5 linked regions of the Ovis aries genome follow. The protein of the gene in region 2 purifies or fractionates together with the protein of the main gene of each other region. This does not show direct contact. Links are inferred from orthologs where the notes say so. Each region holds a gene or a part of one and is shown on either strand. Other genes may lie near its edges.

Region 1 (4,274 bases), on a different chromosome or scaffold from region 2:
TAGCAATCCAAATTTTACAACATTCCCACCCAAAAAGGATCTACTAGTCAACTCTTCTGCCCTCTTTTCCAACTATTCATCTCCCTCTCTCATGAAGTCTAAATAAATGCAGATCTATCTTTAAGGAGATATACTGTACTTTCTTATCTTAGCGCTAAATATAGGAGCTAAATATAGGAGGTAAACCATGTATGTCTCTACCAGGTTCATGTAAAGTGCCACTTAGAGCTTATGGAGAATTTTCCTCAACCCAACACATTTTGAAAATCCAGTAAGAATTTATCCCAAATACGTAAATACATTTAACTTAGTTGAAAGAAAATAAAACCCAAATCTGATAAAGTTAGGAAGAGAATCAGGTTGTGTGATAGCATAGCACGCTTGGAGACAACCTACAAAATACTCTGAAGCACTTCCTGATTATTAGTCCTTATTTTTTTAATAAGGAAATCTCAAATGTCAAAATTGAAAACCAGGTACATTCTCTGCTAAAAGCTCAATTAAAAGCAACCATAAATTCCAGAGAACTTAACTAGGTCAACCAAACTTTCGCCCCACTTACTAGAAACAACAATCCGAAGTCAAGCCTCACAAACTTACAAAACATCTACATATGGTTTCAAAAGAAATCTAATTATTCACTGTGAAAGAAGAATGGGTAGTTTTACAAACTGGAAATCATCTAGTTTTCTCTTAATAAGATTTCCATGGGAAATTAGCAGCTTTTATCCTACAGCAACACAAAACCAAAAATACCTTCCATTTCTTCACTAGCAGGTATATATGTACCCCCCCTACCTAAAATTAGGAAAAAGACAAACAGATTCTAGGCACCCATCATACCATGAAGTCCTATCTTCCCATGATGGGAATTCACCAAGTCTTTCTCCCTCGTCTGAACGTTTCTGAAAAAGACATTATGTGTGGTTCTACTCACAGGGGTACGTGGCGCTGCTCAGGGTCAGCTCTGGCCAGTTCCTCCTCTTCGATATCAGACTCTCCTCCTGAACTACTGTCTGTGATGTCGGAATCAAACGCTCGTTCACTGCACCTCAAGTTGGCTACACCACTGGCTGTAAATCTCTCCAATTCTTCTGAAATCGAGTCACTTTTCAGGAAGTTGCTAAGTCCCTCTGAAGCAGCGGTCTCACTGGCAGCTTTTCTCAATGCAGCTTCGGCCTTTCGAGTCAGCATCAACTGGCTCCGGGGCCTCAAGGATTCCAAGTTTGGCAGCCTGCTTAAAGTTTTCTCTAAAAATCCACCCAGCTGATGCTGTATGTGCCTCTCCACCTGCTTGGCTTGCACAACCTGTAAGCGCTTCTGTAACCTGCGGGCCCGGCTCTCAATGTCAGCCTGCCGCCGCAGTAAAGCTGTTATCCTGGTGTCAGAATCTAAAGCACTGAAAAGGATGGAAGACAGGGGAGGCTTTTTACCCTCTAACTTGACACCCCCCACATTAGAACCAGAGTCTGTGTCAGGTGATAACCTACTGCTTCCTTGAAGTGCCGGCTGTTCCATGGAATTTACAGAAGATTTGTTTGCAGTGCTAGTATTGCTAAATACAGTTGTATGTTCTACATCAAGGCTTCTGTGTGGAAGAGTGCAATTGGTCATAGCCCCTTTCAAGTCCCCAGACTCAGATGCCACCACCTCACCCCCCTGAAGAGAAGATGAAGTGAGAGCCCGTTTTCCCCCATTAAGGGGACTGGAATTGTCATGATCAGAATGTGTTGAACTTTTAGTCAATTTCTTCGCCAACCCATTTACAGGTGCTTGTGGCAGAGCTGTCTGACCACTTGTATTCATGGTTCTAAGATTTTCTAAGGAAAACTCCAAAACTGGCTGTCTTCCCAACAGCTCAGCTCGGAGTTCATAGGACTGAGATAAGAGAGGGTGAGGTTTGAGTACTGTCTGCTTGCTGAAGACACCTTGCAGCTTCAGTGACTCCTTTGCGGGAACAGCTGTCACATCGGAGCAGAGATAAGACGCCACCAGCGGCTGCAGCTTCCCCAGGTCTTCCTTGGTAGGGTTATTTCGGAAGTCTAGACTGGGGTCCTCTGCAGCGATGGCTTTCCTTTTGGTTCCGTTGGCAGCAATAAGGATGTTGGCGTTGCCGTTATTCTCGGCACTGCCAGGGGACAAAGTGGAGGATGGGGGAGCCAGTTTGAACCGGATATGGTGTGTTTCAGCTGCTGCGTCAGTGAGAGCGGGCGCCATCGCAGCCATTCAGCACAGAGAGACAGGAAGTCCAGCCTCTCCCGGTGCCGAGGCCAGCTCCACAGCCCCTTACCGCCTCCCCAGAGAACAGACTAGAAGAGAAAGAAGAAAAGGAAGTTAGAAATACAAACACATTAGAAAACAACACACATGTTTTTAATACAAACATCATGGAGGCTGTTAACCAAACTCTGTCTTCAAGAAAACACTCAAACCAAAAGGGGAGGGTGTTGGGGCGGGGCCACAGCTCTACAAAAGAAAGAATTCCATCCTTCCTTTTAGTCACTTGTTACTATAAATTAAAAGTAGTCACAGACTGTTAAAGTCAGATCATCTGCATTTAAGAAAAAAACAGCTTTAAAACTTCTTGAAATTAGTGAATTTAAAGCAAATGTATCAAACTAAACACCAGGAATCAAACAGAAAAGAATTAGAATTCCTCATTCCCTACCCAAAGTTTGTATGCCAGATGTCTGTACATTTCTGGCCGAAGGATCCAATGTTTGTCAGCTTCTCTGTAAGACAGATCATACTAAAAGTTTTACTGTATCACACCTGTAATGCCAGTTTATTTCATCTATTTTCTTTTTTTCCCACTGTTCTCAGTATAGCCCACCTCTCAAATTAATTGCCCAATCAATGTGTCTCTTTTCTTCACAACTTCTTGAAAGAAGAGTTATAAATAGCTGCCTCTGCCCTTCTCACTCTTCTGTAATCTGCCTTCTACTCCTATGGCTCTGGCAAAGGTCACAAGCAATCTCATTATCAAATCCCATGCTCAAGTCTCAGTCCCCATTCTATCTGACTTCTCTGAAGCATTAGGTAGTGCTGACCACCCCACTCTTCTGGAAATTCTTCTTTCCCGATGTCCTTGACAGCAAGGTCCCTTCTGCCCTCTTCTCTCTCAACTCACTTCCTTGGCAACAATCTTGATAGCAACGTGTAAGTCCTCTGGTCGCTCAGAAAAACACCGTCAGCTACACTAATCAACATCCTCACCTCTGTGTACCTCAAGCCCCCTGAAGCTCAAAACTGAATTTCTTTTTACTTCTCACCCAGTTTTATCATCTCAGGAAATTGCTTTCACTGAGTAAGCCCAGCTAAAAACCTCAGCAGTGTGCCTCTTCTTCATCCCTTTTGATTTATCTGGTCTGAGAGTAAAAGGAAATCTATGTCAAGAACTAAGCCAGCAGGTACTAAAGTGCGGCCTACAAACTTCTTGAGAGCTCAAAGACCATTTCAGAGTTCCACAAGATCAAACTTTTCATAATAATATTAAACATTATTTGCCTTTTTCCACAGTGTTGATGTTTGCGATAGGGATGCAAAAGACAAGTCTGAGCAAAACTGCTGGTACCTGAGCAAAAATCAAAGCAGAGATACCTAACTGTACTAATAGCCTCTGGTCACTGTATTCTTTACTCATTTAGTTTAAAAATAAAACTTTTTTTAAAAGGTTATTACAATGACCTTTGATATCCTTGATGAAATACAGAAATTCTGAACTTTATTAAATCTCCACTCAAGTCTTCAGTGCGTGTCTATACGTTTATCTATATATTCTGTGCAATGAAAGGGAAAGTACACATAAAGCACTTCTACTGCTTTAAGAAAACTGAGTTACAAGTTGAACTAGAAGCTTCTTCCATGTAACTATTTTTACTTGGCAGAACAACTGACAAACTATGATTATACAGACTTGAATATTGAGTAGACATTTTCTTGCAAATGAACAAAGTGAACGTGTCACTTCAAGGAAACCCAATATGAGGTTTGTTGCCAATGATAAAATCCAAGTTTTTACGCAAAAATAAGTATTTTGAAAATGTGTATCCACCACCATAAACTTGGAACATTTCCCCAATACTTAGTCATTTCCGATTAAACAGACTACTGCTGCTATTAGTGAACGAGAACTGGATACCACATAATGAAATGTGTCAACCTTTGGAAGATCTGCATAACTCTGTTAATGATCAAATGACCAATGCTCCTTAGAAACTTGTGCATGGGTAAAAGTAAGTGTTAAGACAGACCAAATGGATTAATCTGACAGA
Region 2 (5,030 bases):
ATCTTTCTAATTCAAAGCATTAAAAATAATTTTTTTAAATGACAGCACTGTTAACCAGTTGACAGTCTGTGTATACAAACTATATTTGTATCTGAAATAAGAGCTTCTCAACTTACCTTTATTAAAGGACAATATACTCTGATAGTTTGTACCTTGTCTTAAGTTATTCCGTTTTTTAAATTTAAATGACCACAACCCAATGCAACTCATCTTGCATTCTACTAATAGCTGTGCCCCACAGTCTGCAAACCATTGCTGCAAAACCCACAATGAGTGCTCAGGATGCAATTGCACTGGGTGAAAATAACAAAAATCTGGGTTCCTTAAGAGCTTCATAAAGCCTCTTCTCATCTGCACACTCCATTTCACAAATCAAGAAACTGAGGCTCAAAGTGGGAGAAAAGAAACCCCCCAGGGGCAGGCTGGCTTCAAGAAAAGAACCCAAATTTTGTTTCTTTTTTTTTAGCCCAGAGGCATGAGGGATCTTAGTTCCCCAACCAGGGATTGAACTCACACCCCCTGCATTGGAAGGACAGAGTCTTAACCACTGGACCACTAGGGAAGTCCCCAAATCCAAGCTTTGGAAATAAATGGCAGGAGTTTCTAGGCTATTTCCAAGTCAAGACTAAGGGCTTGTGCCCCAAAGTAGAACAATCTAGTTGGCAAATCTAATTCATGACTGGGTTCCTAAAACTACCTGCACCTCCCTTATAAACTGGGGATATAGTTTACCTCACAGAGTTGCTGTGAAATTTCAATGAGATCATGTTCTAGAATACTTAGCCTAATACTGTGGCTCACAAGCCAATAAATGTGCCATTATTACTCTAATTTCAGCCCACCCTTTTATATACTAGCTGTGTGACCTTGGGCAAGTTACTTAACCTCTCTGAGTCTGCTTCCTGCTTTCCTCAAAAAGAATTAATTAGCTCTGTGGCATTAAGTTGTTACAGAAGACCTGATGAGCTTATCCAGGCACAGCACTCAGCACAAGGGTTGGCGATTGCAAGCACCCCTAAATCACTCATTCTCTTCCTTCCCTTGGAACTTGCAGGTCCGTTTGTCAATGTGGCACAGCCAAGAGGGGCATAAATGCTGCAAGAGGCCTGAGTTCCAGTCCCAGCTGTGTCAGTTTCTTGCCACAAGACTATGGCCAAGCTCTCACCCTCTCTGAGCCTCAGTTTTCTCATCTGTGAAGAATACCTGGGAGGAGATAGATAGTCCCCCATATACTGCAGGAGCTTAAGCAATGGGAGCTGCTGTGGGTGTGGCACCAGGACCCAAGTTAGTCTGGAGAGGATGCTGAGCCTCCTGGGGCCCTGGGAAAGGGGAGGGACCCGGGGAAAGGGGTGGGCCCAGGGGAAAGGGGTGGGACCTGGGGAAGGGGAGGGACCTGGGGAAGGGGAAGAATCCGGACCTTCTGCACGTGGTTGATCTCATCATGCTTGCGTTTTTGGTTGCGAGTGATCTTGCGCTCCGGCTGCTCAGCCAGCTCGCTCAGGTACTTCTCTGAGTTCTTCTGCACAGCATCTTTCACTGTTTTGGTCAGCGCCAGCCGGTTCTTGTCGACCCATTCATCCAATCGCCGGTTAACTGTGAGGATGGGTCATGAGGGTGCTGCCCTTTCACGTTCTCCCCCAACCCCGCACCCAGACCTGAATACCCTGTCACTCACAGCCCACGTAGTGTACATAGAATTCCTCTCGGCCTTCTTGATCGTTCACTCGAGACTGGATCACTTCAGCAGAATCTGTGAAGGGAAAAGGCTAGGATCACCAAGAAAGAACACCGGGCTGGAACGAGTGACACTGAGGGGCAGGTTGCCAGATTCTGAGGCCAGATTCCGAAGCTAACCTCATCTGTTCACCTCTGCCACTCCCTTCAAACACTGTCTTGAGGTGGGCCAGATTGGGGCTCTTATTCTTATACTAGGGACAAGGAAACTGAGGCTTACCCATGCTCACCTATTTGAAAAGTAATAAGCACTAATATTTAACCGAATTCAAGTCTGGCTCCAAATTCAAGGTCTGTATTAGTATACTCAGTCGTTCATTTGTTCAGAAGCCATGAGAGCTAGTTGTGGACTCACACAGCCTCACTTCCTAGCTATATTTAACTGAACAAGTTATTTCGGCTTTCTGAGCCTCAGCGCTTTCATGTGTAAATAAGGATAACAGCGCCCCCCTCAAACGGTGATAAGCTTTCAGTACAGCAGCACCAAATGGCAGACCATTCAACAAATGACTAAGGCAACCACTGCAAGTCTGGCCCTGAGCTGGGTTGCTGCTGGGTACATAAGATACACTGATGAATCATGAGCGGTCCTGCCCTCCAGAAGTTCACACTTTGATAGAAGACAGACAATGACAACACAATGGTACATATACCGTAGCTCAGGTATAAAGAAAATGTTGCAGGAATATACAGAAGGGAACGATGCACTCTGCCTGAAGGGAGTCAAGAATGGCATCACAGGGGATATGATGCTAAAAGGATGAGTGGGGCTAGCCAGCAGTAAAAGGCATATGGTCTTAAGAGCCTGGTCTGGTCCGTCAATGGCCTTTGCTAGGAGTGCTAAAAAACAGAAAGGTGACAAAGACGAAGGCCATTCTAAGGTATTTGGGGATTATTCTGGAAATGACGCAAAAAAACAGAAGGGAGGGGAAGTTAGTTTTTGTGTTCCGGGAGGTCCTCTCCGCTGGCGGCTGTAGGATAAAAGGGGAAGTCACAGACACAAGGGAGACCAGCGAGGAAGCAGGTTAACAAAAAAAAAAAAAAGGGAATGAAGCCTAAGACTTGGCAAGTGGAATGGGAGCTCTAAAACACAGAAGGAAGACTTTGGTTAAAGCCCAGGCGGCGGGGATTGTAGGCGGCGCCGGGGCAAGTCCAAAAGACAGTGTTCTAACCCCCTCAGGCCCCGCCCCGCCCTTAGGCCCCGCCCCCTGGCCTTGGGCCCCGCCCTCACGCCAGGTGCTATCGGGCCGCCGGCACAGGTAGGTTTCTCCGATCTCCACGGTGACTTCCGGCTCGCCGCGCGCCGGGGTCGGCGGAGAGATGCGGCCTGGGGACGGAGCGGTCCCCTCGACCGCCGCATTCTCCCCGGGTCCGGGCTCGCCCTCCCCCGAGACCCCTGAAGTCGCTGCCGCAACCGCCGCAGCTGCTCCCTGTGCCGCCATCGTTGTAGTGGAAGTGACGCCAGAATATAGCGCCGCGTAGCGCCTTTAGATCCGGGTCAGCGACGCGTGGCGGAGCCCGCAGCAAGCTGGAGGGCGGGGTCTGTGACGTGGCAGGAGCTCGTTGGTTAGTGTGAGTGTCTCCGCGGCGCCGGGCCAGATTGACGTTGACTGTGCCGGTTACATTGGAGTTTCCTGTTTGGAATTGTGGCTGCACCCTAGAGTTAAAAGAGAGGAGAAAGGCTTTCCTGATGTGATGTCTCAGCTCTATCTTTTTAAGACTTCTGGTGCCTGAGGAAGCCAAGATGTGCCAGTTATCGGGCGGCGCTGCCCCCAGTTTACCGGGGCAGAGCCAGAGCAGCCTCCCTGGATGCCTGGCTTCAGGGCAATGAGCCTGAGGTTAACACCCATCCCATGCAATTCCACCAGCCAAATACTGGTCTCCCGTTTTTAAAGACTGAAGAAACTGCGTTCCTTGTTCAGGATGGGAAAAGGAGATCGGATTGGGGAAGCAGGCCCAATTAATCACTCGCACAGAATCAAGCCTTTGTAAAGAAATGACCAAGTTCCCTAAAGAGAAACTAGTCAAAGGCCCTGGACATAATAGAGAGAGTCTTGGGCTTAATGAGTGAGGAATCCTGGGTTCTGACCCTACACTGGGAGTGTCCATTCCCAGAATGTCGTTAAATGTTACACTGTATAAGCCATATAACCATAAAGATTGAACCATATGTTTATCTCTACGTATATAAAACAAGTGCGTGTTGCACAATAGCAGACAGGGTAAGGTATTCAATAAACATTCCTTTTGGCCACTCTGAGTCATATCTGACTTGTAATTTGGCTATTGGGCTTAGAAACAATTCTAAGAGGAGTGGAATGCTTAAGGTCTAAGGATGAGGTTACCGATCAGGAAACATCTAAGTATCTGTGAGTGATGGCAGTGGGAAGAGCTGGTAACTTGGCTTTGGGAAAATAAAGGAGTTTGGAGGGAGTGGTAAATGCCCTTCTGGCAGCATATGAAACAGAAGAAATAAGTCAGGCAAGAAAAAAGTTTAAAATTAAGACTGTAGTACTTGTTCCCTCTCCACCCACCCCTAGAACTATGTTGATGATTCACACAGATCCCACAGAATCATTTTTTGTTGCTTCCTTGTGCTCATATTACCTTTGATGTGCTTTCAGAAGTCAGCACCAGAGGCTTGTTTGGTGAAAAGTCTCTCAAGTTAATGGAACTGTTTTGCTTTGAAAGAGCTGAAAATGGAAGTTCTCAGTCTGGGAGTTTTAAGTACCTGCCCAATCAAATATGGACAATAAACAAATGATATCCAGCAGAGGAGTCCATCAATGACTGTGCTGCTTACCTCTTTTGCCTAGCCTCCTGCCCTTCCCTTTCCTGCCTCCCCTACTCCCTTCTGGAAGCACTTTCTCAACAAATTGCTTGGGTACAAATCTTTGTAAGATGTGCTTCTAGGGAATCCAGGGCTTCTTTGGTGGCTCAGCTGGTAAAGAATCCACCTGCAATGCGGGAGACATGGGTTCGATCCCTGGGTTGGAAAGATCCCCTGGAGAAGGGAAAGGCTACCCATTCCAGTATTCTGGCCTGGAGAATTCCATGGACTATATAGTCCATGGAGTCACAAAGAGTCGGACACGACTGAACAATTCACTCTAGGGAATCTAACCTCCCTTCCTAGCTTCAAACCCTTCCATGGATCCCTGCTACCTCCAGGATATAACTCACACTTCTTGGGCTATAATTTCAAGGTCTTTCACCCTGACTCCCATCTGCCTCTCCAGCCTCCCCGTCCTCCTCCTCCCAGCACTGCAGCAACAAGATTTTCAGCCTGGCAAATC
Region 3 (4,274 bases), on a different chromosome or scaffold from region 2:
TTGGGTTCAACAAAAGTCCCCCCTGCACCTGAGTCCATGCCTCTATCTGTGGAAGCTACTTCCATGTCTGCCTCAGGCCCATCTTCTCAAGCGAGTGGTCTGTTTTCATGATTTCCACCCCCTCCATCTCCTCTTGCCTGTTTCCCGTCTATCTTGGTCTCCCGCCTCCCTCTGCTCCCCAAAGTCACTGACAGTTTCCCACTTGCCGCACCAAGCATTGCCCTCCTTTCCCTTCAGCCCCTTGCTCCCCTTCTGCCTCAGGTCCTGTCTGGTAATTGTCTGTCTGCCTTATGACCATCTCTTCTTTGGCTGCCTTCCTTCCCCGTTGGTTCCACCCCATTTGGGAGGCCTGTGTGACTCAGTGGGGACCTATGTTGATGTCCCCACACCCTCCTCCAAACCTCAAGATTCCCAGTGTCTAGAGTGGACTGTGTGTTTCCACAAAATGTGGCCAACGTTTGTGGCATTCTAGTCCTATCAGTGGTTACACTGTGACACAATGATGTTGTATTCTTACCATGGTTTCTCAGCCTTGGCTCGACCGATATTTTTAATTGGATCATTATTGGTGGCGGAGGCTGAACTATGCGCTGTAGGATGGCAAGCTGCATCCCTGGCCTCCACCCACTGGATGCCAATGGCACTTTCCCAGTTGTGACCATCAAAACTGACTCCAGAAGGTGTCTGTGTTCCCCCCAGAGTAGAATCACCCCTGAGTTGTGAACCACTGAAACAAAACAAGGACAAAGGATATCACAGCCTTTAATGCCAGGGTGCCTTGAAGAGTTAAAGGGTGAAAATGGTATAATAATGTTTAGGTACCTTTTAAGAAAGTATTTGTTTTGGCACGTCTGGAAGTGAAAGTTTCTAAGCCTCCTGGAGTGGAGTGGAGGCTGTGTTTTCTGTCTGAAGAAGGACATTGAGGAACCCCTCCAGGCTTGGCAGAGATTCTGTGGACTGGGTGCATCTGATGCTTTCCCCTTCCTTCTGTAGGAACCAGGAGGAGCTCTCTCCAAGCCCACCTTTGCTGAATCCATCCACACCACAGTCCACAGAGAGTCAGCCAACGTCAGGTGAACCAACCACCCCCAAAAGGCGCAAAGGCGAGCCGGAAGCCTTGCAGTCTCTGAGGCGGTCCACGCGCCACTCTGCCAACTGCGACAGGCTGTCTGAGAGCAGCGCCTCACCCCAGCCCAAGCGCCGGCAGCAGGACACATCTGCCAGCATGCCCAAGCTGTTCCTGCACCTGGAAAAGAGTAGGTCCACTGCCCGTAGGAGGGCCATACCGGGGAGAGCTGATGTGGACTCTGTGCTTGGTCTGGGTCAGGCACCGTGCTCCTGAACCCAGTCCAGCGGGAGATGGGAGCCCCCCCCCCCCGCCCCCCACGTCTTCAGCTCTACAATCAGGATTCCTGGTACTGACCAGTTTCGCTCTGGCTCACGTCTGTTTGCAGTCCCTCTCTCCAGCCCTGAACTAGTTAACGTCCTGTACGTATGGGTCTGCCTCTTCTAGGCATGACTTCATCAGTGGAATCATGCAATACGTGGCCTTTTGTCCGTGGCTTCTTTCACTTAACATACAATGTTTTCAAGTTTCATCATGTTGTACGTAGTTTATCCCAGTGAAGTGTGAAAATGAAAGTGTTAGTCACTCAGTTGTGTCCAACTCTTTGTGATCCCCCTGGACTGTAGCCTGCCAGGCTCCCCTGTCCATGGGATTTCCCAGGCAAGAATACTGGAGTGGGTTGCCATTCACTTCTCCAAGGGATCTTCCCAACTCAGGGATCAAACCCAGGTCTCCTGCATTGCAGGTGAATTCTGTCTGAGCCACTAGGGATATCTCCGAACTTGATTCCTTTTCTTTCCTTTTTTCCATCAAATAATATTCCAGGTACTGTCCTTGACAGGGAAGTCTTATTGGTAAAAATTAAAAACTTCTCTGCTGTTTGTAAAGGTCTTCCAGCAATCTTTAATTCGGTAGCTGTATGATTAATTAGTGGATAATTAATTGGTGACTAATTAAAGTCTTTTCCTTTTAAAGAGACACCTGTTCATAGCAGATCATCCTCGCCTGTTCCTCTGACCCCTAGCAAGGAAGGGAGTGCTGTGTTTGCTGGCTTTGAAGGCAGAAGAACTAATGAAATAAATGAGGTAAAGCATTAGTGTCTGTTGTTCACCTGCATTGAACCCTTCCTTTTGTGTTTTCTTAAAAAGTCTTACAAGATGAAATCATGTTTGCTTAGAAGAAACATTGTTACTCTTGCCATAGATATTAACAGAATTTTTTGTATGATGTGCAACATTGTATTTGTGGTATCTAAAATGAGACAGTTACCACGGGGATTCGAACTCCTGACCTCTGGACCCTAGACTGCCTGCCTGCCTGCCTAACCGCTACACTACTGCGGCTCGCTTAAAGGGTCAAGCAGGTGATTCGAACTCCTGACCTACGGAGCCAGATTGCCTGTCCACCTGCCCGTCTGCCTAATCGCTACACTACCGAGGCTCAAGGGGACGACCCAGGATGAGATGGCTGGATGGTGTCACGGACTCGATGGACGTGAGTCTGAGTGAACTCTGGGAGATGGTGATGGACAGGGAGGCCTGGTGTGCTGCGATTCATGGGGTCGCAAAGAGTCGGACACGACTGAGCAACTGAACTGAAAATGAGACAGTGGTTAGGATTATAGCCCTGTACTTCCATTCCTCTTTTATTTCAAATAAGTCCAAGTATTGAAATAGGAGTATTGTTATTTTATAGAACAGTTGTCAGTACAGTTTTTCTGCAAAAAGCCAGAGAGTAAATATTTTCAACCTTGTGGGCTACATAGTCACTGTTGAGACTCCCCACCTCCAAAGCAGCCCCGGACACTGTGTAAGTGAATGAGTGTGCCGTGTTGCAATAAAACCATGTTTATGGACACTGCCATTTGCATATCAGATAATTTTTTATTTATGTGATATTTTACTTTTGGTCTTAACCATTTAGAAATATAAAACCCATCTTTAACAGTAATATTAATAGCCATCCCTTTGAGGGCATGCTGTATGCTAGCATTGTGCCAGGCACTTGATCTAAATTACCTCACGTTCTTGAGAATAACCTTACCAGCAGAGTTCCCTTTTACAGACAAGAAAGCTTCAGTTTGAAACTATTTTTAAGGCCAGTTAACTGAGATACATAGCGAGTATTTAAGGAGTTCAGGAAATGTCTTAGTCCACTGGGGTATTGTATGAATCTTGCCTAGCAAGTGGGCTTTCCTTGTTTCTGTGCACAGGGGAGGATGGCTTTACCAGACAGAATGGTTGGTGACAGGGGTTAGCAAACTTTTCTTATAAAGGGTCAGATTGTAAATATTTTCAGGGTTGTGCATCAGCTTGTGAAAGTGGTGTGAATAGTTCATAAAGGGGTGTGCTGGGTGGCCCCAAAATTCATTCGTGTGTGCTCGGTCTCAGTGCACTTGCTCAGTCGTGTCCAACTCTTTGGACCCCATGGACCGCAGCATGCCAGGCCTCCCTGTCCATCACCTACTCCTGGAGCTTACTCAAACTCATGTCCATTGAGTCGATGACGCCATCCAACCATCTCGTCCTCTGTCGTCCCCTTCTCCTCCTGCCTTCAATCTTTCGTAGCATCAGGGTGTTTTCCAATAAGTCAGTTCTTCACACCAGGTGGCCAAAGTATTGGAGCTTCAGCATCAGTCCCTCCCATGAATATTCATGTGTGCTAGTAATCAAATTTCATATGATTTTTATTTTTTTATTTTATTTTTTTTCATATGATTTTTATATGTTATGAAGTAGTAGTCATTTAATTTAAAAAAAAACATTTAAAAACAGTTGTTTTTAGCATGAGGGGGTTGCTTTGGCTCACGGGCTATAAGTTGACTGACCTCTGCTAGAAAACCCAGTTCATGTTCCAGTGATGTTGAGGGAAGGTTAGGAAATTCCTAGTGCAAGCAGTCCCTAATTTTCCTTTTTTCAGACTAGAAAGCCCTGCAGGTGTTTTTATTCAAGAAGAATCCTGTTTCTTACAGTAGTCCCCAACCTCCATGATCTTAGGCCAGATGAGCTGAGGTGGAGCTGATGTAATAATAGAAATACAGCACACAATAGATCTAATGCACTTGAATCATCCCCAACTGTCCCCCGCCCCAGGGCCATGGAAAAATTGTCTTCCACAAAACTGGTCCCTGGTGCCAAAAAGTTGGGGACCCCCAGAAAACATCTGAATACTGAGGCACAGCCATTCCCACTCTGGTCACTGTTGCAAC
Region 4 (4,274 bases), on a different chromosome or scaffold from region 2:
TTGTGTCTGACTCTTGGGTGACCCCATGGACTGTAGCCCACCAGGCTCCTCTGTCTGTGGGATTTCCTAGGCATGAATACTGGAGTGGGCTGCTGTTTCCTTCTCTAGGGAGTCTTCCTGACTCAGGAACTGAACCCATGTCTTCTACATCGCAGGTGATTTCTTTACCACTGAGCCACCTGGGAAAGCCCTAATTGACTGTACCACAATACAAAATAAAAGGGTAAAAAAAAAAACCCAAAACAAATTATAAAAAACTGTGGAACCACAGCATCAACCCATATGTTGTCCCCTTAATGATGCAGAATGCAAAGCCAGTCTTATCTGTCAATCCAGACAGCAACATCATATGTAATTTTTGTGGAAAAACTCTTATTTACTTCAAATAAATGTATTAGTGCTCATTCCCAGTAGGCAGCCTTCTTACATCTTAGTCCTAATTTTAAGGTATGAAATTGGACAATGGTTTGATTTCTTCCCAGTTGAAATAAGGCACTTCCCCTTTCAGTGGTTGTTTTCACTCTCAAATAGCTCAGCATTGTACCTCTGCTTAACTGGGGCCTAGACTTAGGCTGTCCAGTATGGTAGCTGCTAGCCACTTGTGGTTATTGAGCACTTGAAATGCGGCTATTCTGAATTGAGATGGGGAAACACACACTGGAGGGAATTCCCTGGCTGCCCAGTGGTTAGGACTCCGTGCTTTCACTGCCCAGAGTCTGGGTTCAATCCCTTGTCTGGAAACTAAGATCCCACAAGCCACATGGCATTGCCAAATAAACAAAACACAAAACAAAACCCATAAAACACACTCTGGATTGCAAATAGTACTAAACAACAGCAACAAAAAAAAACCCACCCACGAATGTAGAATATCTCAATAGTTTAAAAATATTGATTACATATTGAAATGATATTTTTGGATACATTGGGTTAAATATGAATTAAATATTCATATTTAAGTATATAAATGTTACTTTTTATATTTACAGAATATTTTATATAAATATAAAATTTAAATCTATTCAGTATAATTCATCTATTTAATATAAATATGTAGCTATTTTAATTATATATTTAACATAAATATAAAATATAAGTTTAAATTATTTTCACTTTTTTAACTTTTTCAAGTGACAACTGAAAATTTAAAATTATCTCTGTGGCTTCCATTTGTGGCTCTCATATTTCTGTTGGACAGCAGTGGTCTAAATTCACTGGCTTTCTCAGTAGGATTCCAACAGAGAATTAAGCTCTAATGCCCAAGGCATCTGTAACCTGTAGTGAACTGACTTCTGCCAGTTGGTGGTGGTACTAGTTATAAACCACTCTTGGGAGAATTAAGAAAATAACCTTTGTTCTGTTTTCAAATGAGGAACCCCTGTTGAGAAGGTCTAGACGTTTTAAACCTCTGTGCAGTGTACCGTTTTATGATGTGGGATGTAAATAAGCAGGCCTTTTTGTGTAAGTGGGAGAAGGGCACTTATTCAAGAAAAGGTAGACAGTGTGAACAGGCAGAAACCTGCTGTGTCCTCACTATAGTTTAGGGAAGAGAGTGAGTATGTGGGACTTGAGCATTCTGAAACAGAATCCCCTTTGGTTACTCTTACAGTGGGTTGTACTCTCTGGAAAGTGTAGACTGGGATACTTGCATTCCAGTCTGCAGACTGCTTCTCTGAAGCCACCTTACTTCACTCAGATTAAAAATGGGGCATTCAGTTTATTGCTTGTATTAAGTGTACGATGTTACACAAGATAGGATCAAATTTAATAGAGAACTGGGGTTTTCCAAGCTTACTGTTAACACTTGTCTGAGCTGTTCCTCTCGTTAGAATCTCTGGAGCAGGATCTGGGAATACTAATTATTAACAACCTTCCCAGATGATTCTTACTGTAAAAAGAATTCATTGTTGGGAAACATTGAATTTCTGCGTGGTTAGCCCCGTTTTGTATATGGTATCAATGTGAAGGCTTGCCAGTATTTCATATACTTCAAATCCGCTTTAAAAATTGCTTGAAATAAGTCAATTGACATGGTGGAGGCTTGAGCTCGCTAGATTATGCAGACCTTACTGGACCCAGATCTGAGCTATTTAGGGAGGGTTGTTTGTATTTAATGTGGAATGTGTGTGATCTCTAAGTTCCCACCCTTGGAACGAAGTACTGTTGGCACATTGAGAAGCTTGAACACACAAAGAACCAAAGAGATCAGCATTCTCATCAGGTTTGCCTCTTCAAAGCTCAACCCTCTGTCCTTTGTACATTTGACATGGCAGATCTGAAGCTTCTGGTCTTAGATGAGTCTTCTCTCTCCCCCTCCTTCTTCCCCTCCCATTTCCTTCCCTCTTCCCTCTCTTCCTTCCCCTGGCTGCTGCTTTCTCTCGTTTCAACCTTCATCAGACCCCGTAGCCCTACCTTTCCTTCAAGCTTCCCAATTTCTTTTCTTTTGTTTTTTATCTTCTGCCTGCCTCTTTGATTCTTATCTTTCCTGATGGGAGAGAACTTCTTAAGCGTTAGGTTTAAAAAATAAAAAGTGAGTACTGTCTAAGGGTTTAGCTTCTGCACTGCTAAAATTATGTCAGTGCTGGATTTGCCAGTGTTAAGCAGCCTTGTCTGGAACATTGGCTATCAAATAGCGTGGTCTCCTGAGATTTTTCTGGAATTATTTTTAAGAGGTTGTAAATGTTGACATTCTCTTTGGTCCCTCAAAACTAGGACCAATGCCAAACTGACCAGTTCAGCAAGTAGAGGCTGAAAATAATAATCAAACTTTAGTCCCAGGGTACAACATTTTAAGAATTAGCCTACATGGTGGATTTCCTGAGTACTGGATAAGCCAAATTTTGATGAGAAGATTTGATGGTTATAAAAATGACTTTACTATTGCCTTTGTACCCTCATATTTTAAAGGAGTCATATTAGGATATTTAAGGACTGGGTTTTAGGAGATCAGTATATGACTAGAGCTGGGTCATAGGAAAGATCACAAAGATTCAGAGGTCAGTCTGCAGGGTGTCAGCATTTCCTATAAGGTAGTAATCTCTCACCCATTTCACTTTTTACTCCTTTTGGCTTAAGTAAGAATGCCCTTTGAGGGTTTATTTATCATGCAACGATTTGTGTGGATGTGTGTGTATATACATATATACCTATATATTATATATATACACACACACATATATATATGTTTTATTTGTATACAGCATGAAAATTGGTCAAAAAAAACTACATATCTTTTTGTGTGTGTGTGGTTTTATATACATTGTAGCTGTGGATTCAAACTCTCAAACTTTGCAACCAATAACATTGGAATTGAGAAGACGGAAAATATCAAAAGGAAATGAAGTCCCGTTAAAACGTCCTCGGCTTGACAAAAATTCATGTGAGTCTTCAGTTTGTGTATGTGTGGCTGGAACTTGACAACCATTGGGTTAGCTCCCCTGTGTCCTTGTTGTCCCCTGGGCCTGATAGACTCTAATGGCTTGTTGATCACAGGGGCTAGTGTGAATGGGATGTGTTTGGATCAGAGGAGTTTTGCTAGAGGGAAAATAAATCCCAAAGCACAAGCTATGTTAATGTTGAGTTCAGTAATGCCGTTTCCATACCCATCTGATTTGGATTCCACTGGAAATTTAATGGCTTAGGAAGTGATGGATTTCATATGCTGAGTGAAACTTTAAATATATATTTATTGATCTTACTCTAGCACAGGGAGCTATATATTTTAAAATAACCTAGTGTAGTGGAAGAGTCTGAAAAAGAGCATATATATGTGCATGAACCTGTATATTCATGCACACCTGAAACTATCACAACATTGTAAATCAACTATACTTCCATTAAAAAAAATGCTATTGATTGATTTTTAAAAAATACCCTATTGGTTCCAGAAAGGACTTGTGATGACTCTAAGGCTCTGTAAACCTTATTGCCTTGGGGTGTTGTTAATACGTACATTTTTATGTTGGAAAGCCCCAAAATAGCACTTGTCAAGTGGGATGTGACCTTGCCCACATATTTTCATATCATAAATCTTTAAATTAGGAAAATTATGTCCTGGCAGAAAGACTGTGCCTTTATTTAAAACTATAAGCCAGGATAAGGTATTTCCTTTCATCATTGATGCCAGAAGTCTGTTTGAAGCCCTTATCAAGGCAGCCAGTCCAGAAATCTGTGTGTGCTAATTCACTTCAGTAGTGTCTGACTCTTTGTGACTCTGTGGACTATAGCCCGCCAGGCTCCTCTGTCCATGAGATTCTCCAGGCAAGAATACTAGA
Region 5 (4,274 bases), on a different chromosome or scaffold from region 2:
TCGGGAAGAGACACAGCAGGCATGTCTGCTTTTTTAGGGCCATCAGGTGTAATTTAGTTACGTGCTTGTACTTCCTTTAAGAATATTCTGGGGGTCAGATTGGATTTTAACCTAGCCTCTTGGGTAATGAGGTTTTTAATGTATTTTTCCCTGTGTGACATGACATTACATTTCATCCAATTCTTTGTTTCCGTTGGTTCTTTGGAGAAGAATCCAGCTGAAAGGAATACAGTATTTGTTTATAATGATAAAAAGAGCACTGAAGACCCGGGAGACTCGCATCTTCAGTGGCAGCTCAATCTCCTTACGCACATCGAGAACGTGCAGAAAGAAGTCACCAGCAGGATGGACCTCATCGAAAAGGAAGTTGACGGTAATTTAAGAAGGATCTGAAACACAGTTGCTGTAGTCTGTAAAGTGTTTTTTGTGTGTGTGCTTATGAATAACATGATGTTCCTTAAAGTCTTAAATTATGGGACAAAAACTGCAGACAGTGACCACACTGATGGAGCTTTATTGCTTCCTTAGCATTGTATTTAGCATATCTGGCAGTTAGGGTATTTGATGGCTATTTTAGGGATTTTTCTTTTTTAAGGTAGGGACTTAAGAAATACTGTCCATCTGCCAGGCTCAGTGTATACCACATGTGGGATATTTATTAATTTCATTGAACTGTGTTTTCTTTGAAAGTCAGCATAAGGACTTTAAGCATATTTGAAATATTGGGGAAAACATTTTGTTTTCACTTTGGTCAGTGTTTTTTAAGTGAAATTAACAACAAAAAAGAACTCCTGCTAGGTTAAGTGGGTAAACTTTTAGTTCACATATACATTTTCAGATGTTTTTCTTCTGTATTTTTAATTTCATTACACAGGAACCCTAAGGAGTAGACAGGGAAAATATCCTCATTTTATAGTTGAGAAAATAAGAGTAATTGAGATTACTCGATTTCAAATCTAGTGTTTTTCCTGTGCTTTTTGACTCCCATCTTTAAACTCATAGATTGTATTTCCCACCCCCCTTTTTATTTGCAAAAGCATGCACTACTTTCACCCCCCACTAAGTTAGTGTTCCTACTGCTTTGTTTTTCCCTGTGAAAAGAGGAAATGGAAACCCACTTCAGAAGCAGCCTGCATTTGGTTATAAGCTAGCTGTAGAGTTAGTTTAGTTTTAAGTAGATTTTTAAAGAAGAAAAAATTGCAACTTGATGCCATTTTCCATTATTATTAATAAAAAGGATAAAATGTAACTAATTGCATTCTGCCTAGATTTCTAGTATGTTTGCATTTTTTTAAAGTACTGGTTCAGGAGGACACTAAGAAGTTTCCACCTCCTTTTTTTTCGTTAAAAAGAACTTATGGACTAAAAAAGGTTAGGGTAGCTGAGTTTCATTTAAGATGGAAATGATAAGCTTAAATTAATAGTAATCTTGAGCAGGTACGGGGGACGTTGTTTTCTGTTCTAGAAGTGAGTAAAAGGAGACACTCAAAATGAAGTTATTTTATATCTATAAAGGGGGAAATTACCTAAAATAATGACAGGTAAAACAACAGATAAAGGTTACCAGGATGGGCTGAGGGACAGAGGATGCTTAATGGCTCAGAGGTGGCTTGTGGCTTTCTAGAGAAAGGGAAGCGAACTCTTTCTGCATCATTTTTTCAGCCTTCTCATTATACCATTTTCTGACTGTGTTTTCAGTTGCCATGTAAATGTGTGTGTTCTCTTCTCTCTTTTAGTTCTGGAAAGCTGGCTTGATTTCACAGGGGAGTTGGAGCCACCCGATCCTCTTGCAAGGCTGCCCCAGCTTAAACGCCACATCAAACAACTCCTAATTGACATGGGCAAAGTACAGCAGATAGCCACTCTCTGCTCTGTATGATGGCAGTGAACACGTGATGCAAAGAATGGGGCTCTGTTCAGTCGACTCACTTTTATTATCCACATGGCTGCTAAGTGGATAGTTTAAAAGCTTAGTGATGTTTGGTCATTTACTGATTTGTGACATCAATAGGATGGCACCTTGAAAAGGAAAGTGAAGAACAACTTTATCAGGGAAGCTAATATTAAAAAACATTCATGAGCTAGATACAAATGACAATGTGCCATATGCCCAGGGTCAGTGGAGGTAGATTAGAATCTATGCTGAGGGAATCAGATTGGCAGGATTTTTGAGTAGTTGCTAACATGAAACACGAGATACCTGTAGGAAGAAATACGGTGCATTCTTACAGTTCTTAGTAGAAAGATCTATGTTTATAAACCAGCATTTGGCCAAAACGAAAATTGTAGAGGAGATTTAAATTGTGGAGAGTTCTGTAAGGTTGTTGTAAGAACTGTCTTCTCTGCAGTTGATCCAGCTGCACTGAAGTCCAGAGTATTAAACTTTTATGGGATCATGAACTGTTTCTTAGGTGATGAATGTCCTTGGCCAGAAAACTGACAGTAGAAGTCTCACTTCCGAGGAGAACAGCTGTGGCACCCTTACTTCGTTATGAGTATGTTTTAAAAACCGTGAAATAATTGGAATCCATTGCTGGCATTATAAACTCATTGTAAAACACAGAATGGCTCGCGGAATTGTCAGTGTGCCAAATAACGATACTGCTGGAAAGAGAGATTTAAACAACTGTGGGAGTTCTCTCACCCAAGTCTTACATAATGCCATCAGTCCATCAGAGACGCGTCTATCCCGTATACTATATATAGAATATATATAGTCAGAGTTCAGCATTCAGGTTTCAATGTACAGTTTGACCCTGAGTGTGCTTGATATTTGCCTTCAGAAAAAAAAAAGTAAATAGCCTCAGCTGGGATGAGGAGTGACAAAAATAACAAAATAATTTGTGGCTGTGGATTTTTTTTTAAACTGCTGGTAGTGGAATACTGGAAAAGCTTCATTTCTGAAGATGAATTTTATTTTTAAAAAATACATAAGGCACTCAAAACTTGTAGCTTTGATCACAAATGGACAGATTTCTGAAACCAAAGGCAACTAAGTTGCTGCGTTAGCTCTTGCTGGATCTCGGCCTGGCCTCCGTCTGCCAGTGCTCTTGCGAGGCGTGTGCCGCCCCCATGCTCGCGCAGGTGTGCGTTCAGTGTGTATGCTTGTTTGAAACAAACACTCAGCATACATGTGTACATAATCGACATATTTATATCTACACATATCTAGTTTTATTACTATAGTCTATAAGAGTTGGTGGTTAACATGAAATGTTACCTTTTAACAGACTGTTTTTAAAAAATTAAAAATGTTATGTATAGGTTTTGAAACTTTTTTAAAAAGGGGGGAGAAAAGACTGTTAAGAGGAGGCTATTTGATGACATGTTAACACTTGAATATTTTATGCCTCATCCTGTTTATCAGTTCTAGCAATCTGTATAAATGCATTTTAGAACTGATAGACAGTCAACTTGAATTTATCTTTGATAAGAATACATGCCACTGTACATTCAGATATTATTTAAAACTGCAAACACACTGTTCTATATGTAAGGTACTGTATGTAAAACTCTTTATTAAAACAATTCCACATATCATAAAATTTCAGCTTGCCTTTTTGCGGCCTTATATTTTGATGTAAAGATGATTAAAAGAATGTGCAAAGCAGTAACTAGAAATTTTTATTGCCTTTTGAGATTCTCCGACTTGACCCATGTGCCAAAGATCACAGACGTAAAATACAGCCCTGTGTATTTACTTATGATGCATTACCATTGTGAGAGACCTTACTGAGAAATGAAAAGCTTTAGTAGAGGAGATACAAGGTAGTTATTAAATATGAGGATTAAAGTAAAAAAAGATAGTGCCTGTGTTTCACATGTGGAGTAAACTTTCTAATGTCTCTTTTTCAGGGTTGATACTCTATTTTTTCATTTGTGTTTTAAAATAATGACCCTAATCTTTCCCCTGTTGTTAAATTCTAGACATTTATCTGTTTTTCAGAATGGAACAAATAGCATTCTTAACAGGCTGTGAACAGTGGTGTTGCCCAGATTCTTGTCACATGCTCGAGGGACCTTTTGTGCCTAGTAACACTCATATTCTCAGCCCCTGATGACCATAGTTAAATTAATGTGCATTTTTTCTTGGGACATTTTAAAATTAGATCACTTTGATAGCCAGCTGACTAGAAGTTTCATTAATAATTAGAATATTGAATTCTTGCTCTGCTTTAATGAATTGGGAGTCTGAAGTTTTTAATTTATATTTTAAAGTAAATCTGTATTGAATTACTTATACGCACATCTCCATTTATTAATAATACAGAGTG

What was found. Proteins that work in one complex are often made in the same cells at the same time.
Region 1: the proteins of KAT8 (region 2) and KANSL1 purify together in Homo sapiens (affinity purification with western blotting; 4 studies listed by BioGRID and IntAct, with this or other methods). This does not show direct contact. The link is inferred for Ovis aries from reciprocal best matches to the Homo sapiens genes KAT8 and KANSL1.
Region 3: the proteins of KAT8 (region 2) and MSL3 purify together in Homo sapiens (affinity purification with mass spectrometry; 4 studies listed by BioGRID and IntAct, with this or other methods). This does not show direct contact. The link is inferred for Ovis aries from reciprocal best matches to the Homo sapiens genes KAT8 and MSL3.
Region 4: the proteins of KAT8 (region 2) and PHF20 purify together in Homo sapiens (affinity purification with mass spectrometry; 3 studies listed by BioGRID and IntAct, counting the BioPlex papers as one, with this or other methods). This does not show direct contact. The link is inferred for Ovis aries from reciprocal best matches to the Homo sapiens genes KAT8 and PHF20.
Region 5: the proteins of KAT8 (region 2) and PHF20L1 purify together in Homo sapiens (affinity purification with mass spectrometry; 3 studies listed by BioGRID and IntAct, with this or other methods). This does not show direct contact. The link is inferred for Ovis aries from reciprocal best matches to the Homo sapiens genes KAT8 and PHF20L1.

Annotation. Positions count from the first base shown.
Region 1 is NC_056064.1:45,870,415-45,874,688, forward strand, and holds part of KANSL1 (KAT8 regulatory NSL complex subunit 1), read right to left. Parts: intron 2,310-4,274; 5' UTR 2,227-2,309; coding exon 938-2,226; intron 1-937. UniProt on the Homo sapiens protein: Non-catalytic component of the NSL histone acetyltransferase complex, a multiprotein complex that mediates histone H4 acetylation at 'Lys-5'- and 'Lys-8' (H4K5ac and H4K8ac) at transcription start sites and promotes transcription initiation.
Region 2 is NC_056077.1:27,733,380-27,738,409, reverse strand, and holds the start of KAT8 (histone acetyltransferase KAT8), read right to left. Parts: upstream 3,195-5,030; 5' UTR 3,177-3,194; coding exon 2,966-3,176; intron 1,751-2,965; coding exon 1,676-1,750; intron 1,594-1,675; coding exon 1,418-1,593; intron 1-1,417.
Region 3 is NC_056080.1:9,915,359-9,919,632, forward strand, and holds part of MSL3 (male-specific lethal 3 homolog), read left to right. Parts: intron 1-993; coding exon 994-1,256; intron 1,257-2,041; coding exon 2,042-2,151; intron 2,152-4,274. UniProt on the Homo sapiens protein: Non-catalytic component of the MSL histone acetyltransferase complex, a multiprotein complex that mediates the majority of histone H4 acetylation at 'Lys-16' (H4K16ac), an epigenetic mark that prevents chromatin compaction.
Region 4 is NC_056066.1:65,008,333-65,012,606, forward strand, and holds part of PHF20 (PHD finger protein 20), read left to right. Parts: intron 1-3,265; coding exon 3,266-3,379; intron 3,380-4,274. UniProt on the Homo sapiens protein: Methyllysine-binding protein, component of the MOF histone acetyltransferase protein complex.
Region 5 is NC_056062.1:21,560,415-21,564,688, reverse strand, and holds part of PHF20L1 (PHD finger protein 20-like protein 1), read left to right. Parts: intron 1-207; coding exon 208-373; intron 374-1,736; coding exon 1,737-1,879; 3' UTR 1,880-4,274.